Cricetulus griseus: one gene and its partners. The protein of the gene in region 3 interacts with the protein of the main gene of each other region in a pairwise test. Links are inferred from orthologs where the notes say so. Each region holds a gene or a part of one and is shown on either strand. Other genes may lie near its edges. The genes, in order: Tcl1a, Arnt, Akt1, Cep76 and Ppl.

Evidence for each region.
Region 1: the proteins of Akt1 (region 3) and Tcl1a interact in binary tests that used the Homo sapiens proteins (3 or more experiments, as listed by UniProt). The link is inferred for Cricetulus griseus from reciprocal best matches to the Homo sapiens genes AKT1 and TCL1A.
Region 2: the proteins of Akt1 (region 3) and Arnt interact in a protein complementation assay, tested with the Homo sapiens proteins (2 studies listed by BioGRID and IntAct, with this or other methods). The link is inferred for Cricetulus griseus from reciprocal best matches to the Homo sapiens genes AKT1 and ARNT.
Region 4: the proteins of Akt1 (region 3) and Cep76 interact in binary tests that used the Homo sapiens proteins (3 or more experiments, as listed by UniProt). The link is inferred for Cricetulus griseus from reciprocal best matches to the Homo sapiens genes AKT1 and CEP76.
Region 5: the proteins of Akt1 (region 3) and Ppl interact in a two-hybrid assay, tested with the Homo sapiens proteins (2 studies listed by BioGRID and IntAct). The link is inferred for Cricetulus griseus from reciprocal best matches to the Homo sapiens genes AKT1 and PPL.

Annotation. Positions count from the first base shown.
Region 1 is NC_048598.1:189,490,426-189,492,581, forward strand, and holds the end of Tcl1a (T-cell leukemia/lymphoma protein 1A), read left to right. Parts: intron 1-1,061; coding exon 1,062-1,232; intron 1,233-1,590; coding exon 1,591-1,647; downstream 1,648-2,156. UniProt on the Homo sapiens protein: Enhances the phosphorylation and activation of AKT1, AKT2 and AKT3. Promotes nuclear translocation of AKT1. Enhances cell proliferation, stabilizes mitochondrial membrane potential and promotes cell survival.
Region 2 is NW_023276806.1:61,036,215-61,039,733, reverse strand, and holds part of Arnt (aryl hydrocarbon receptor nuclear translocator), read left to right. Parts: intron 1-2,814; coding exon 2,815-3,028; intron 3,029-3,519. UniProt on the Homo sapiens protein: Required for activity of the AHR. Upon ligand binding, AHR translocates into the nucleus, where it heterodimerizes with ARNT and induces transcription by binding to xenobiotic response elements (XRE).
Region 3 is NC_048598.1:181,392,287-181,395,805, forward strand, and holds part of Akt1 (RAC-alpha serine/threonine-protein kinase), read left to right. Parts: intron 1-2,884; coding exon 2,885-3,013; intron 3,014-3,519. UniProt on the Homo sapiens protein: AKT1 is one of 3 closely related serine/threonine-protein kinases (AKT1, AKT2 and AKT3) called the AKT kinase, and which regulate many processes including metabolism, proliferation, cell survival, growth and angiogenesis.
Region 4 is NC_048595.1:171,774,414-171,777,932, forward strand, and holds part of Cep76 (centrosomal protein of 76 kDa), read left to right. Parts: intron 1-620; coding exon 621-806; intron 807-3,070; coding exon 3,071-3,168; intron 3,169-3,519. UniProt on the Homo sapiens protein: Centrosomal protein involved in regulation of centriole duplication. Required to limit centriole duplication to once per cell cycle by preventing centriole reduplication.
Region 5 is NC_048600.1:41,609,845-41,614,008, reverse strand, and holds the end of Ppl (periplakin), read right to left. Parts: intron 3,174-4,164; coding exon 510-3,173; downstream 1-509. UniProt on the Homo sapiens protein: Component of the cornified envelope of keratinocytes. May link the cornified envelope to desmosomes and intermediate filaments. May act as a localization signal in PKB/AKT-mediated signaling.

The DNA of each region.
Region 1 (2,156 bases), about 8.1 Mb from region 3:
CAGTAAGTGTAGAAATAGTTGCCATGGCCCAGGAGAGCTGTGCCAGCGATGGGCAAACAACGCCTGTCACCAGAATCACAGTGTTAGAAATGGGTGTGGGGGCGTCTCAAGAAAATGACCACACAACCCAAAGCATTCAGCAAGACAGAAAGTTATACTTCCGTAGGTTGTGCAGCTGTGCCACAGGGGTCCTGAGTCCCATTCTGGTTGGTCAAGAGTTCAGCCTCTTCACAGTTGAATAACTTAGAGCTGTGCAGTCCACAAGCAAAGTGTAACTTTGAAAATAGGACACAACCTTGAGCACAGACTTTGATCTTAGAAATATGCTGACTGGAAGGGGATTTTCTTTTGCTAGATAGCCTCTTTAGAGATGGAGCTTCATCTCATTTAACCCTCTGATAGAAAAGACAGTGCGTTTTGTTTACAGTTCCCACAGGGGTCCATAGATAGACTGGTTCCTCCCTTGAAAGAGGGCATTGGACAAAAGCAAAGTCAAAACCCAGGCAGGGCTGGAATAGAGTTGGTAAAGTGCTTGCCTTGCAAACGTAAGGTCTTGACTTCAATCCCCAGAGTTCAAGTTTGAGAAACCGAGTGTTGTAGATGTTGCTAGTAATTCAGCACTGGGGAAGCAGACCTCTGAAGCACGGTCACTGACCAAACAGCCTCGCTTTGTGTGTGTGTTTGTGTGTGCCATGTGTGCCCATGCATGATCCAAGCCAATAAGAGACTTTGTCTTAAATTAATAAGTAAATAAGTGAAAGGAAAAGTGGATGATGCCAAAGAAATGACACCTTAAGGTTCCCTCCCCCCACACCTATAGGACCAAGTTGAAGGACTCGGTGGCTTAGCAGTAGGAGCGTTGGCAGGAAAAAGTGCACCCTCAAGGATGGCTAGACCCTGCCAGAGTCCCTAAGATTGTGTGTAGCCTGTGGAGTTGAAACCAGGGGCAGTAACTGCTCAGTGTATTGGGTCAGTGATAGGATGGACACTGGGTGTTGTGCCTGAGGGAGCCTGGCAGTGGTAAGCAAGAGGTGAAGGTGTGTTTTGTTCTTCCTCTGCAGACTGATGAAAAATTCCAGGTGATCTTGCGCCAGCAAGACGTCCCCTTGGGGCTTGCTATGATCCCTGAACAGCTGGAGGCATACGAGCTGCCTTTAATGTGGCAACTATACCCAGGGAAAAAGTACAGAGGCAGTGACTCCATGCTCTGGCAGATACTGTACCACATCAAGGCAAGCACAGCTTATCCTACGGACTGAGTGGGTAATCTCCAGTGGTCCTGCTCTCAACTTGGGGTTGGCTTGGGTTATCCCTCCATCCTAGTACCAGAAGCTAAGCTAATGGAAGGGGAGCTAACTGCAGATTTTTGTTTTTAAATGGGTTAAAGAAATAGAAGAGGCTATCTTCTGAGGTCTCAACCAAACTCCTTAGCACAAGGAGCTCTGTGGTAGTCACTGACTGAGACCAGTGGAGAGGGCTAGCCCCTCAGGTCCCAGTGCTGCCCCAGGCTAAAGAAAGCTAAGCCAGCATAGAAGGGGAGTTCTTGGGGCTGGGTCTGATCACTCTTGTCTCTCTCCTTCCCCACCTTAGTTCAGAGGCGTAGAAGACATGCTACTTGAACTGATGGAGTCTGAAGAATATCCATGACATGGTGAGTGCACCGGGGCTCCATCAGGAAGGAGTAGTACCCTTTTCCATGAAAGCCATGCCGGCTCCTCCCCAGCAGCTGTCCTCAGAGAGAGCCCAGGGTGAGGCAGGCTTCCCAGAAGTGTCCATGTCTCTTCCTTTACCCCCCTAGGAGCTACAGCTACAGCCGTGTTCATGGGCCACCACAGGTTACCGTTGTTTATGATCAGTTGTCACTGTGTGACTTTTTTTTTTTTTTAGATTTTATTTATTTATTATGTATACAACATTCTGCTTCCATGTATATCCGCACACCAGAAGAGGGCACCAGATCTTATAACATCCGGATGGTTGTGAGCCACCATGTGGTTGCTGGGAACCCAACTCAGGACCACTGGAAGAGCAGTCAGTGCTCTCAACCTCTGAGCCATCTCTCCAGCCCCCATCACTGTGTGACGTTTACAGAGGCAGATTTCTCCATCTTACCCATTCTCCTCACTGGGTTGGTGTTTGCCTTGGCCCAGGTATAA
Region 2 (3,519 bases), on a different chromosome or scaffold from region 3:
TTTTAGAACTTGAGTTGTACATACAGCCTGTAATGTGAAAGAAGGAGGCAATTTCAGAGAGGTTACCACATGTATGGAACCAGGATTCCTTGGGTTTGGATTCTGGAACATGGAAGAAATCTGTCTCAGCCCTGAAGCAACTTCCAGTTTTAACAGGAGTCTAACAGACAATCCCTGTTACTCTGTGATATGCTCTGTTACATTTGATATACACATGAAAACAGAAATACTTCCTAGAACCCCGGAACTCCATCTAAGAGCTATGGCTGTAGCTCCTTGGTAGAGCACTCACCTCCAGTGCTGGAGGCCCTAGGTTCAGTCTCCACTACTGCCAGAAGAAAGATTAAATTTGAACATAGTAAATATGTGAGTGGTAACATACGTAAATGCAAAATGATGGAAAGAGGCATATGGAGAGCAGATGGCTTCTTTGTCAATATTTTGTGTGTGATAACTATGTAACGGTGGGATGTCTAAATTTATTTAGTCTCTACACTTGAATGAGAGTGCCTATGGCTGACAAATTACATTTCAATTAAAAATCTGTGATTGGCCAGGGCATGGTGGTGCATGCCTTTAATCCCAGTACTAAGGAAGCCAATTCCAGCCTGGTCTACATGGAGAATTCCAGGCCAGCCAGAGCTACATAGCAAGACCCTGTTTCAAAAACAAAAAAGATACATGATAGTTCATACCTAGAAAGCATAAAGCCCCGAGTTTGTTCCCCCAACACCATATACAACTGGATGTGGTACCCCATAACCTGTAATTTCAGCACTAGAGTAGGAGTAAGAAGTTGAAGCCATCTTCCTAAGGGCTAACCTGGTATACATAAGACCTTCTCCAAAATAAATATATATACACATGCAATGTGTGATTACTGTGGAAAGTTTTAGAAAATACAGGCATTGTAAAGAATAAGGTAAAGGACATTTACTGTTATATCAGCATGTTCATCTAAGAATTATAGGAATATGGCTTGAGAGAAAGGAGTAAGTTCTCCAAATAAGGTGGTCTATTTGCTAGCACATGGAGCACATTTAATAGCTATGCACATAAACATACTCAGTTTACTTCCTTAGAATAGGTGCAGGAATTGATTAAACAGACCCCAGGTATGCTGCTTTTGTGGCAAATCAGATACTTTGTGATATAAGAAATATAAAGAATGGTAAAAGATCAGTGGTAGAAACAGATATGTAAATTGATAACTCAGAGCAAAGCTAGTGTTACAACAGAGGAACAGTAAATGAGCCTTACAGGAACATAGATAAAGAAGGAGAGGAATTAGGTGCTGGGCATGGTGGTACACTGCTTTAATCCCAGCAGTCAAGATACAGGCCATCTCTGTGAGTTACTTTCAATTAAATGATACTTGGAAATTATTGGGGGAGGGGTGTGGTGGCCTGGTGGGAAGATTCAGAGGTGTGAACTTGTTTTTTTTGTTGTTGTTTTGTTTTGTTTTGTTTTTTTTTTTTGAGACAGGGTTTCTCTGTGTAGTCCTGGCTGTACTGGAACTCACTGTGTAGATCAGGCTGGCCCTGAACTTGCAGAGATCCACCTGCCTCTGCCTCCCAAGTGCTAGGATTAAAGGCTTGCGCCACCACTGCCTGGCATGGATTTGGGTTTTATTTAATGGTGTAGAAACATGAGTATAGATTGTGAAGAGAAGATGATCAGAGAACAGGACTTAGGAAATGTCTGCATGTAACATGTGAACAAAGGGAGAGAACTTGGAGCAGAAATGGAGTTTCGGAAGATGCTAAGCAAAAAGGAAATTTATAGAGTGCAGTGGGTAGTATTATCAGATTGTGGAGAGAGATTGAATTTAAAAAAATGATGAGGATCCAGGAAAGGGACCCGAATTGGCAATTAAGAAGATGCAAGTAAGTAAACCCCTTAAAACAACAAAACAAAGATGGTGGTTTAGAGTGAAGATTGAGGAGTAATTGACAAGCAAGAGAGAATAGAACCATTGAGTGTAACATGCTCTCTCTGCTTTTATCCTCTTTAATCTACCCTCAAAATGACAGTAGTCTAATTATGTGTTTATGGTTCATTACTGCCTAAAAATTATACCTAAATCCTTTAATGATAACAACATACCCTGGACAAGCTGAGGGAAGATTTATATAGAATTAGGAAATTTTTGTGTTTATAAGCTTGAATGGAAACAGGGAAAGTGAAGTGATCCTAAAAAGAGAGCACAGAGGATGGGACCAACAAGTCTACTGTTAGAGGCTGGGGTGTACCTCACTTGACAGAGTGCTAGCTAGCGTGCTCAAAACCCTGGTTAATTTGACATCCGTACAGTCGGGGTGGTGCTGGCCACCTGGACTCCCAGGACCTGGTGGAGACAGGATGACCAGGAACTCACGGCATCCTTCACTAGGTAGCAAGTTTGAGTTCAGACTGATCTACATGAGAACCTGTCTTCTTGTGTTGTTTTTAAGCCAGTTATTAGCTATATGTGTTAGTTCTAATTCCAGTTCTTGAGAAGCCAAAGCTAAATGATTGCCATGAGTCCAAGTCCCCTGCCCCCTTCTAAGTGTCTCATTATTGTAAGCCTTTTTATTTTCCCTTGAGTATTAAAAGAAAGAGGTGTCGTGTCTAGCAACTTAGAGAAATAGAATACTTATTGTAAACACTTTGCCAGTGGATATTTAGGGTGGGAACCCGTGGCTTGGCTGAGGTATGACCTTCAATTCCTAATGGAGCAATGCATATATACCAAAGAATCTTGCTGCTTTCCATGACTAGAAATACATGATTTTTCAGAGTTCACTATTAACTTTGAAATATTTTCTTGACCAGGAACTGAAACATTTGATCTTGGAGGCAGCAGATGGCTTTCTGTTTATTGTCTCGTGTGAGACTGGCCGAGTGGTTTATGTCTCTGACTCGGTGACTCCTGTTTTGAACCAACCACAGTCTGAATGGTTTGGGAGTACACTCTACGATCAGGTGCACCCAGACGATGTGGATAAACTCAGAGAGCAGCTTTCTACGTCAGAAAATGCTCTGACAGGTGAGAGTTGGGTGGATAGCAAATGAGTGGGGGAAAAAAGTCTTCATTTTGCTGAGGCATTAGAGACATTTAATTCCTTTCATTGATTTGTCGAATCTGGCAGAAGCTTATAAAAAAACTTCCCTTAATGAATATACTTGTTAAATTTTATTCACATGCAGAATATCCACTGTGTGGCTCATTCTTAGAAAATGTTTCATCAGTGGTTAGGTTAATTTGTATCTTAATTATACTGTAAATAAAATAGGGAAATTAAAATGTACAGTAGTTTCTTTCCCCTGTGTTCACATAATAAAACAATTATGCATGTATTTCATCTGTTACCTGGCATTTTTTTCATACACACTTGTCCTTGACTTTCTGCTAGGTTCTATTAGAGAATGGTTATCGGTCAGTGTATAAGGTACTTGGTTGTTGTCATTGTATGTTTACTGTGTCATTCTCCCCTCCACCATTTAAATGAGATTCACTCCTTTGCCAACATTTGGGTT
Region 3 (3,519 bases):
TGGGTGTCTGCTGTTGGCTGGTTTTGTTGTTCAACGAGAAGCTGTTGTCAGGCATCTGGCCTCAAGAACCATGGGGACCACACTGTGGAGGTGGCACCTGGTTATTTGTCATCTGTTCATGTCTGTGTGAACACGGGCCTGGTGAGGAAACTCCAGGTGGAGCACAGCACCTCTAGTGGGCCGTGAGTACTTGTGTTCCCAGAGGCTGTGTGGACAGGTGGAAGGCCCCAGCTGCTGCTGCGCTTCACCAGCTGGACTCCGCCTTACCTGTTTTCAGGGTACCAGGCATCCAGATGGGGTGAGGGAGTAGAGAAGAGCCTGGATGGGCCAGAGCCTAGCACTTCTGCAGGGGCTCAGTATCAGTCCCTCCTTGTTGGAGTGTGAAAAGCTGGAGGGAGGCCCCAGAAGGGGGCAGGGGTATTCCTAGATACCACGTGGCCATGAAGGACCAGTGTAGCCACCTCTTGTATTTGTCTGTCATGTGTTGGCACAGTTCTTTTGGAGGGGTGGGGCTTGGGGTCTGTCTGGACTGAACTCATTAACATGCAGGCCACATCCTAGGCTGCAGCTGGCTTAGCTGGTACCCCCAGTGACCATTTGGCTAGACCTTGAGGCCGGAGATGAAGAAAGAGATCTGTGTGTCAGAACTGTGGCTCCCTTTCCTCTGGAAGAGGCCGCCACCGGGAAAGACCTGATGAGGTCACTTCACTTTACATTTCTCCTTGGCCAGGAGGCCTCTGTGAGGCCAGGGAGGGGAAGGGCACCTAGGCCCTTCTGGGTACTTGGCTTTCTCTGCCTGGTGAGTGTCCCTGCCTGTACCTCCAGGTCCACATTCTGGAATCTGCCTGGCCTAGGGGCTGGTCATGCAGGCTAAGAGCCAGTTGTAGATAGGGTGGTGGTCTTGTCTGGGGGCCTGCACTGGGCACAGTGGGGTGGGCAGCAGTTGGTAAATCAAGATGGATTTCTGGGGTGCGAGTGTGTTGCTCATCAGCCTCCGTACTCAGTTAGTGTCCCGGGGAGCAGCAGCTGGTGAGATGGAGGCACTCCATCAGGGGCCGACAGCTCCAGACTGGTGCTGGCGGGTGGGCGTGCACAGCGGGGGCCTAGGGAGGAACGGGGTGGGGGGGCTGCTCACCCCCCATTGGCTCTGCTATATTACCCAGGGCCCCTGCCTGCCCACTGAGCCTTCGAGGCCCTATGCCAGGGGAGGGGCTGTCATGGGGCCACTGGCCATGTGAATACTGCAGGTGTGTGCCACCTGGTCAGAAGCCAGGCTGGTGCCTGCAGGGGTTCAGGGGTCTTCGAAAACCTGGATGGGAACCCTGTTCTGTGTTTTTGTTGTGTAGGCAGGTTGCTGAGCCTTAGGCCCTCCTGAGTGAGGGAGGGTTGGCATTGGTCATTGCTTTGAAGCCCCCAGTGGCTGTGGGAAGTGGCCGGCTGGGGAGCTGAGCTTCTGGGAACTAAAGATGGGAGGCAGGAATGGGTTTCCAGGTGTCCTAGTTCCAGCTACTTACGGACTGTAGGCCTTTGGAGAGAAGCAGAATAATCTAGCCTAGGCCCTGGAGGACCACCAGGCACATTTGGGCACATGCAATGGAGTCGGGAGGAGCTCGAGCTTGCTCTCTTTGCTGCCCCTCTCCATTGTGAGGCTGGGGTCTTTGTCAGTGCTGATGGCAGGCTTAGGAGATCTGCAGTGACGAGGGGACAGGATCCCTAGCTCTAATAGCTACCAGCTCCCTGGAGTGTGTGTGGGGTGTTGGCCTGGTAGTGGCTCTATCACTTCTTCTCTCACCAAGAGCCTTTGTCCGTCACTTAGGCTTTCTCTTATCCTGATTCATGCAGGGCTGTGTAGGGTCATGCAGAGCAAGGCTGGTGTCGGAAATGCCTCCAGGGTGTCAATTGAAAGGGACTAGACGGTGGAGTCGGGGGAGGTAGGTCATGTGAGGAGTCTGGCAATATACTGCCCAGAGCCCCTACTTCGTGTACCCTGGAAGGCCCTGAGAGTCTGAGCTGGTGAACTATACTGGGTAGACTGTATCTCACCTGCACGTGTTCTCAGAGAACACCTGGATTTAGTACATACCATGAGAGGGTAGAGAAGGAAAGCTAGCTAGCCTCCCTGGGGCTGTGGAAAATGCGTTAGGTGCACTGCCTGGTGCCTGAGACCAGGGTGTTTGTCCTTGTGACTTGGTCTGCATCCTGGAGCACCTGGTGGCAGGTGGCCTGGTCCAAACAGTTGCTCCCTGCATACCCCTCTAGGTGCTCTTGCTCAGGACTCAGTGGGACAAGCAAAGTTCATCTCAGATAGAGCTCAGGGACCCCAGCCCTGTGGGCTGCCCCTCCTGTCCTCAGTCTAGTGTCCCCTCAGATGAAGAAGTTGCCTAATTAGTTAGCTCCCTGTTGTTCAGACTCCTTGCTCGGCAAAATGTAAATGAAACATTTTTTCCGGGTGTCAGTATGAAAAATGACAGTCGCTGGGAGATCACAGAGGACATCTGCTCTGATGTCTGAGTGTGGTGCCTGCTTCTGGCTGATGCTGCAAAACTGGAGGAGGGAACAATGTTCCTGTGTACCTGGGTGACCAGGGCAGGACTCAGCTGGACACAGCACAGGTCTCAGCTAGGACACACACGTGCGCACGCGCGCACACACACACACGCGCACACTCGTTCCAGCCATGGCACCTCTTGACTCTGCTGCACAGGCAGAGCCCTGGAAGATGCTCCCAGCAACATGCACTGGAGCTCTGCCCCAGTGCCAGTGCCTTCTGGGAAGGAAGTGGCCCAGATCCCTTCCCTACCTCTATGTGCCTAGGTCCTCTCAGGTGTCAGGGCCACTGCAGTGTTGTTCACATGCAGCTCCTTATGCCCCCCCCCCCCCGCAGGGGAATACATTAAAACCTGGCGGCCACGCTACTTCCTCCTCAAGAATGACGGCACCTTTATTGGCTACAAGGAACGGCCTCAGGACGTGGAGCATCGAGAGTCCCCCCTCAACAACTTCTCAGTGGCACGTAAGTGTCTCGGCCATTTGGGTTGAGTGAGATGGCTAGGCAGGCCAGCAGGTTTTGTCCTGGGGTGCTGGGCAGTGCTAGCTTTGAGTCACCTCCTCTAGAGCTGGCCAGTGGCCAGCTCTGGCTGGGCCAGGGAGCCCTTGCTGTAAGGCTGAAGGTTCCAGCATGTGGTGACTGGACCTGGTTTAGAGGGTGGGTTGACCAGGGTCCCTTTAATGGGGACTAAACAGGCACTCAAGGACATTCACTGGGAACTCTTGGGTAGACTGAGAAGAAGGTTCCCAGTTCTAGGAGCCTAAGACATCCTGGGAACCATTTCTGTATTGTTTCCTGGGAAGACCATTGGTAGTCCTTTGCCCTGGGTCTTGTGATCGCCTTAGCTGGAGTGCCAGGATTGGTGAGGGTTATAAAGTTGAGGATATTGTGAAACTATCTTTGAGAGCGTGGAGCTTGAGAATCTATGTCCTTGTTCTCTGTGTCACATTGTGACAGCCCAGTTCTGCCTG
Region 4 (3,519 bases), on a different chromosome or scaffold from region 3:
TTTCTCTTTTTGGTGTGTATGTGGAGTTTTGAGGTGGGTCTCACTATGTAGCTCTGACTAGCCTTGCACTCACAGACCCTCCCTCCTCTACTTCCAGAGTGCTTGGATTTAAGGTGTGTGCTAACTCATTTAGCTGATGGCCTTTTCTTTTGTAATAGTACATAATATAAGTTCTTTTGAAGATTAGACTTTTTATGGATCAGAAAGTACTGACTACTGTAAGTAACATAACTAAGTAACTTCTAAATAATTCATCTTATTCTGCTAGTCCTGGCAGTTGTCAGTCATAGAATGGGGTGATATTCTTCCCCCAGATTCTGGCATACTTTGAGAGACCTTACTAAATTATTTCCATCATATGTAAGCTTATTTAGAATACTTTTCAATAAAAGTGTGTGTGTGTGTGTGTGTGTGTGTGTGTGTGTGTGTGTGTGTGTGTGTATACACCCCAGTTCTCTTATATGTACACATATGTGCGTGTGGTGCTGGGTATGGAATCCAAGGCCTCGGGCATGCTAGGCAGTCACTACCACTTAGCTATATCCTCAGCTTGTAAAATGATTCTGTGTTACTAAGTAATACGTAATATAGTGTGTTTTTTCTTCGGTTTGTGTTGTTAGGTGATGGGACTAGAATGGCTGATTCAACAACAATGTTATCCATAAGTGATCCAATTCACATGGTGCTGATCAAAATAGACATATTTGGTGAGACTACTTTAGTGGCATCCTATTTTCTGGAATGGAGATCAGTTTTGGGCTCAGAAAATGGAGTGACCAATCTGACTGTGGAACTTATGGGTGTAGGTATGATGATTAATGTCACTTTCACCTTTTTATAAATACTGTTTGTTGGCAAATTTATTTTATATCAGTCAAAAGGGCTTTACAGGAGGGAGACTTGTAAAACAGGCTTTCATCAGAATTTCAGTGGTAAGTTGGCTTAGGGAATAGCTGGAAGAATAATGCCACCATAGTTCTTCAAAGTCAGTCTTTCTTATCCTGAGGAATTTTTTTTTTTTTTAAGATTTATTTATTTATTATGTATACAGTGTTCTGCCTGCATGTATGCCTACATGCCAGAAGAGGGCATCAGATCTCATTATAGATAGCTGTGAGCCACCATTGGGTTGCTGGGAATTGAACTCAGGACCTCTGGAAGTGTGCTTTTACTCTGAACCATCTCTCCAGCTCCAAAGAATGTTTTTTGTCTGCAAAATGAATGGAAATTCTGGAGGTTCAACATTTTGTTGTTGTTGTTGTTAAATATAAGGTTATAAAGAAAAGCAGGATTCTTTTAAACATATGAATAGGTGTATGCATAAGCTTCTTTCTGGTATGTCCTAGAGTACAGCACATCACCGTCGTCACCACACTGGTTCTTGGAGGGGGTGGGTTATGGGTTTTTTGTTTGTTTTGTTGGTTATGGCCAGAATCTCACAGTGTATTTTGGGATGTCCTTGAGTTCCCTCTACAGAACAGTTGGCCTGCCTCATGCTAGGATTATTGGCATGTACCACCGTGCCAGCTTCATACCAGTGGTTATTGACGAATGAGTAGATGTTCCTCTAGTTCGTTATTATGGATAGGTAAAATTTGAAAGAGTTGCTAACTTGGTCAGTGTCAGTAGCAATGAATAGTAAAGGACAGAGGTTGTACATTATCTTACCATTATTTCCTTGGATTTTGCATACTGCCTACTATGTAATATGTATTAGCTCATAAAAAGAGGAAAACAAAAACCCACTAATGTTTTATCTATAACTTATAATGTAATTGTATTGGTATTACAACTTATTCATACAAGTTAAACTTGGGGATAGCATGATGGCTCAGTGGGTAAGATGATACACAAGTAGAAGGAACTGAGTTTGTCTCTCCAGCACCCACAAAAAAAGCTGGGCATGGTGGCATGCATCTGTAATCCCAGGTCTTGATGGCGGTAGAGACATGCAGATCCTGGGATCTCACTGCCCAGCCAATCTAGCTAATTGGTGAGCTCCAGGTCAGTGAGAGACTTTTGTCTTAAAAGCTAAGGCTGAGAGCAATAGTGGAAGTGGCCCCACATCAGCCTCTGGTCTCCACACTCTTGTGAATGGGCAAAGCCATTTACATAATGTGCATGCACTCATACAAAGAAAAAGAAAAAAAGCTAAATTTGGTCAGTTGACAGCAAAGCATTCAGAATTTAAGTCAGACTCAAAATATGTCTGTACTTAAATAAAAAGAACTAGTATTCTCTTTACACATGAGATTTGTTTTTTAAAGTGATTTCTGGTTCTTTGTCTTCAAAAATAGACCTGGGCCTGGAGAGATGGCTGAATGGTTGAGAACACTGGCTGCTTTTCTAGAGCACCCATATAGTGGCTGACTGCTGACTGTTCGTTAACTGCAGTCCCTGGGGATCTGGCCTCCAAGGACACTGCATGCTTTAGGTGCATAGACAGATAGACAGACAGACGGATGGATGGATAGATAGATGCAAATAGGTCTAACATGATAATCATAACAATGACCTGGAAATAAGTATATACCGATTTGGTTAAGAAATATTGAATAGTTTTATATACATATATGTTTGTATGTTGTATATATAGATCATATATAGTTGAAAACTTGATAAGAAAGGGTAGATGGAATTACTGCATATGGTAAAAAGTTGGGATACTTTCTGATTTTCATGGAGACAGAATGGGCTCTTAACAATTGCTTTGGTTTTGTACTTAATGTAGCATCTAGTTGGAATTATATACATTAAATTATATATTATATTAAAGATATAAATTTAAGAATTCTAAATCCACAAGGTCAGAAAAGTTCCTTAAAATGTTTTTAGAAAGCTTTAGTAACAAAGAAAAAAATCAATTTGATTTGGTTCATTTTAAAAAGTTTGATTCATTTTTAATATGAATATTAAGTGTAATGTTGAGTATTATAACTCTACTTAAGTCATAAAGTACATCACTCCTAAATTATGTTGGTTAGACTTTGGTTGACTAAATACACATAGTCCTGAAAGTTCTTTGTTTTAAATAAGGTTTAAGTAGAGTTTTAAATATTTGTATTTATAGGAACAGAATCAAAAGTTTCTGTGGGAATTTTAAATATAAAACTTGAGATGTACCCACCACTCAACCAAACACTGTCTCAAGAAGTAGTGAACACACAGGTAAGCCAGTTTTTCTTTTGTACATTGCTTTAGTTGTAGGAAATATTTACCCTAGAAAGTATTGTCTTTTTAGAAAAAACAATAACATTGCTGTTTAGATTTGTACTAAAAGAATTAACCAAAGGGATGGGGAAAGAACTATTAAGCTGGGACTGGTGATACAGTTAGTGGTAGTGCTTGCTAAGCATGTACAAGGCCCTGGCTTTTAGCAAACTCCAGGACTGGAATGTGTGTATGTGGGGGGGTGTCACAAAGTGGAAGGGCATTGGAGTAGCAACATGGGGTGATATTTTAAAAGGCTTTATTGCATTTGCATGTGTTTTGTGTGCATTGGGGGTGGGTGATAACTGT
Region 5 (4,164 bases), on a different chromosome or scaffold from region 3:
ATCACTACTGAGCAGGCACTGCTCATAGTTTGATCCCAGCCTGAAAGCTGAAATGGTGAGGAGGGCCAGCAGCTCCAGTGACCCAGTCTGGATAAATAGAAAGAGGCAGAAAGGAGGCCTTCTGCCCTCAATATTACTGTGTGATATGCTAAAGCCCGTGCTGTTTTTGTGAGTGTATGTGCAATATTTTCTTGTGCTGTAGTTTCCAGTTACAACCACTGATGATGGAGCATATAGGAAAGGGAAAGAAGAAAATATCAAGGTTATTAAATCATGAAAGGTGGGAGCATGTCACTCACTCATACTGAACAATGCTGAGCTGAGTTGCCTGCCCAGCTGGTGTCTGTGCTGGTATTACAATAGCTGCTCTGTAAGCAGCCAGATACAGTGTGGATAAAACACTTAGCTCAGAAGCCTGCATGACAACTGGGGAACAGAAGATACCCAGGAGGTTGCTGAGTAGGAGCAAGCCAGCCATCCCCCTCCAGGAAAAGCTAGGCAGAAGAGGCCTACTTCTGCCCAGAAACCAAGACTGCCAGCTCCTGAATGGACATATCCTTGTTGACATAGCGGTCATACTGAGCAGGGGTTAGCCTTCCACTACGCAGGGCATCCTCAATAGAGAACTTCTTGCCAGACTTTCTGTCATGAATCACTGATGACTCCCCATTAGGGCCTTTCACTGATATCTCCTCCCAGTCGCATTCCTGGCTTCTGAGCTTCACAAACATGTTCCAGTCGATGAGCCCAGCCCGGTGGGCCTCCTCTGGGGACAGCTCTCGGCCTGTGTCAGGGTCAATGACCACTATGGAGCGCCTCAGGTGGTTTTCCCTCTGCTCTCTCTTGACGGCCACAGAGCCCAGTCGCCTCTGCAGTTCATCGATCTCCAGATCCTTGTCCTTGGACATCTTCTTGAGGTCATCCAGTTCCTTCTCTAGAGACCACAGCCTAGAGTTGAGGTGGGTTCCAGAGTCCACCTTTGTAATGTTCCTCAGATCTCGAGTTTCTGTTGCTGCCATTTCAATCTCTGATTGGAGTCTCCGGGTCTCCAACTGCAGGTTTTGCCGCTCTAGCTGCAGCTTGTGATTTTCTTCTCTCAGGAAATCTAGTTCCTTGGATGACTTAGAATTGTAGAATTCTAACTCAGATAACTTGGCTTCCAACCGGGTAATCTCTATATCTAGCTCCCTCTTGCTCCGGCTCTCCTCTTCCAGGCTCTTCTTGAGCCGCTGGATCTCTTGCTCAGTGTCACCTTTTTCCACCTGGATGCTCTCAGAGAAGACTACCTTTTCCTTGATCTCTGTCTTCTCCAGGGTAGCCAGCTTTCTACGAAGGGGTTCAAGCTCGCCCTCCAGTAGCTGCCTCCGATGCCGCTCTTCCTCCAGCTGGGCTCGGAGCAGGGCATGCTCCCTGGTCTGCTGTGGGTCCTGCTGCAGCACCACCTTCTGTGTGTGGGTCACTTTCTCACCAGCCTTGGCTTCCTCCTGCTCTAGTACAGCCAGCCGCTGCTGCAGCCTCTGCACCTCCAGCTCAGCTGCCCTGCGTGCCTGCCGCTCACGCTCCAGTTCCTCCAACTGCCTCTCCAGCTCTGCTCGGCGGTGCTGTAGCCTCCGCAGCTCCACACGTAGCTTGTCGATCTGTCGAAGCTCAGCATCAATGCTGTCTGTGAAGGCAGTCACCTCAGCTCTTAAGTCTGGCTCATCTTCGTACTGCACCACCTCCTGGCGTACAACCCTTTCTTTGCCCTGTGCCAATTCTTCCTCCTTGCATCGGATCTTCTCTTCCTGGGATGCCCTCTCCCCTTCTAGGTCCACCTGTTTCTTCTGTTCTTCTGACAGCTTTATACGCAGAGACTCTACCTCCTTCTTGGTTTGGGGGTCTTCCTGGAACTGCAAGATCTCCTGGACCACCTCTCTAGTCTGCACCTGTGGCTTGGTGTCCTTCAGGGCCTGGATCTCCTGCTTCAGCTGGTAGATCTCCAGGTCACACCTTTCTATTAGCCTGGTCTTGTCCATGATCTCCTCCCTGAGCCGCTGGAGCTCCTGCTCTGTCTCTGGGTCAGTCGTGTATTTTATGACCTCTTTGGTCACCTCTTTGACTTCTACCTGTGGCCCACGCTTCCGGAGGGCCTCCAACTCACTCTGGTAGCTCTTCAGCTGCTCCTCAGCAGCTCTGAATTTGCGCTCCTGCTCCACCAGCTCCAGTCGGAGGTTGGCCACTTCACTCTCTGCCTTGGGATCTGGTCGCACGATCTCTCGGACCTTCTCCTGTACCACCACCTTGGCATTCTCCTCTTCCAGTGCCCATATCTTTCTGAGAAGCTCTGTCTTCTCCCGCTGTCCAGTGCGTGCCTTGGCAGCCTCATCCTCATACTGGCGGGTGAGGTCATTGACTTCCCTCCCTGTGGCTGCATCTTTCTCTACCTTGAGCACCTCCTTGACGGTGATCTTGCCTTCTGCCATGGCCCGTTCTTTCTCCAGTCTTCTGAGCTTGGCCTGCAGGAAACTCAGCTCCTCTTCCTGCTTCTCCCTGAGTGTGCCTTCCTGCTGGTGTTCCTCTTGCAGCCTTCGGTATTCTGCTTCCAGCTGAGGGTCATTCTGCAACTTTACCACCTCCCTCTCAGTGACCTTCTCCTGCACTCTGCTCTTCTCAGCAGCCAGGGATGCCACACGCTGCTGTAGGAGGAGCACCTCAGCCTCTCGGGCACCTTTCTGCCGCCGCAGTGCCTCCAGCTCCTCCCGAAGCTGCATGACCTCATCCTCTTGGGCTTTGTCTGGCTCAATGCGCAAGACCTCCTTGACCACATATTCTTGTCCCCCATCCCTGGTCTCCTGCTCTAGGGACTGCAGCCGAAGCTGTAGTGCTCCCAGCTCCTCCTGCAACAGCTGGTTCTTGTGTTGTTCATCAGCCAGGGTCTGCTGCAGCTGCTGGAAGCTCTCCTCAAGGGTGGGGTCTGGCACCTTCTTCAGCACCTCCTTCCTCACCAGTGACTCTTGAGGTCCCTGATCCTTCAGGGTCTGGATTTCCTCCTGGGCACTCCTGACCTCATTTTCCAGCTGCTGCCTTCGCTCCATCTCCTCTTCCAGTTCCTTCTTAATCTTCCATGTTTCCTCCGTGCTGGAGCCCAGCTTGCCCCCTTGCAGGGTCTCATGGGTCACTCCTGCCTCTGGCTGCTATGGCAAAGAAGACAATGGATGTATGGTTAGAGACAAGCCGGTCTGCTCACCTAAACAGGTTGGGTTAGTTGTCCTGTGGTCTTCTGGGGACTCCATTGGTCTTCTAGAGTTACTTTTACTCTTTTAAAAATTGAACAAGGCAAAATTTTGTAGGCACAGAGAAGTTTGAAGTGACACCAGTCTCCTTACCTCTGCCCTGACCCTAGGAGTATCTGTTGTCCTTGGAGACATTTTCAATGTATATTTTTAGTGACCTCCACGTTTACTTTTTCTATGCAGACAGTGCCATTAGTGACTGGAGGGGCAGAGTACCATCTTTGCTCAAGGTGCCACATCATTGCTTAACAGCAGTGTTTCCCCTGTGTCGACATGGTTTAAGCCACCACACTGCTGAGGAGTGCTGAGTTACTGCTAGTTTCTGGATGTGTCAGATAAATCTGTTATAAATGTCATCAGGTCCTAAAAGGTAATTTTTGGGGTTGGAAGGATCAAGTCCTTGGAAGAACAAGCACTTGAGTTCTGATCCTAGCCATGATATGAAAATGTTGGGTGTGGTGCTCTAGTGTGTATGCACTTGTAATCCCAGCACCCAGGAGGTGGAGACTGGAAGCTCCTTGGGGCTTGCTGGCCAACTAGTCTAACTTAATTGATAAGTTCCAAGTCAATAGAAAACCTTCTTGTCTCCACACACATGAGCATGTACATGCACCTGCACATAATGTGAATCCACATACACAAACATACCATTAAAAATAACTTTGGGGACTAGAGAGATGACTAGAAGGTTAAGAGCACGTGTTGCTCTTACAGAGGGCCCAGGTTCAATTTTCAGCACTCACATGGTGGCTCACAACCATCTGAAACTCCAGTTCTGGGTGATGTAATGCCTTCTGACTTCCTCGGGCCCCAGGCACACATGTGGTACACATACATACAAGCAGGCAAAACACTCGTAAAAAATCAAACAAACAAACAAACAAAAAAACTT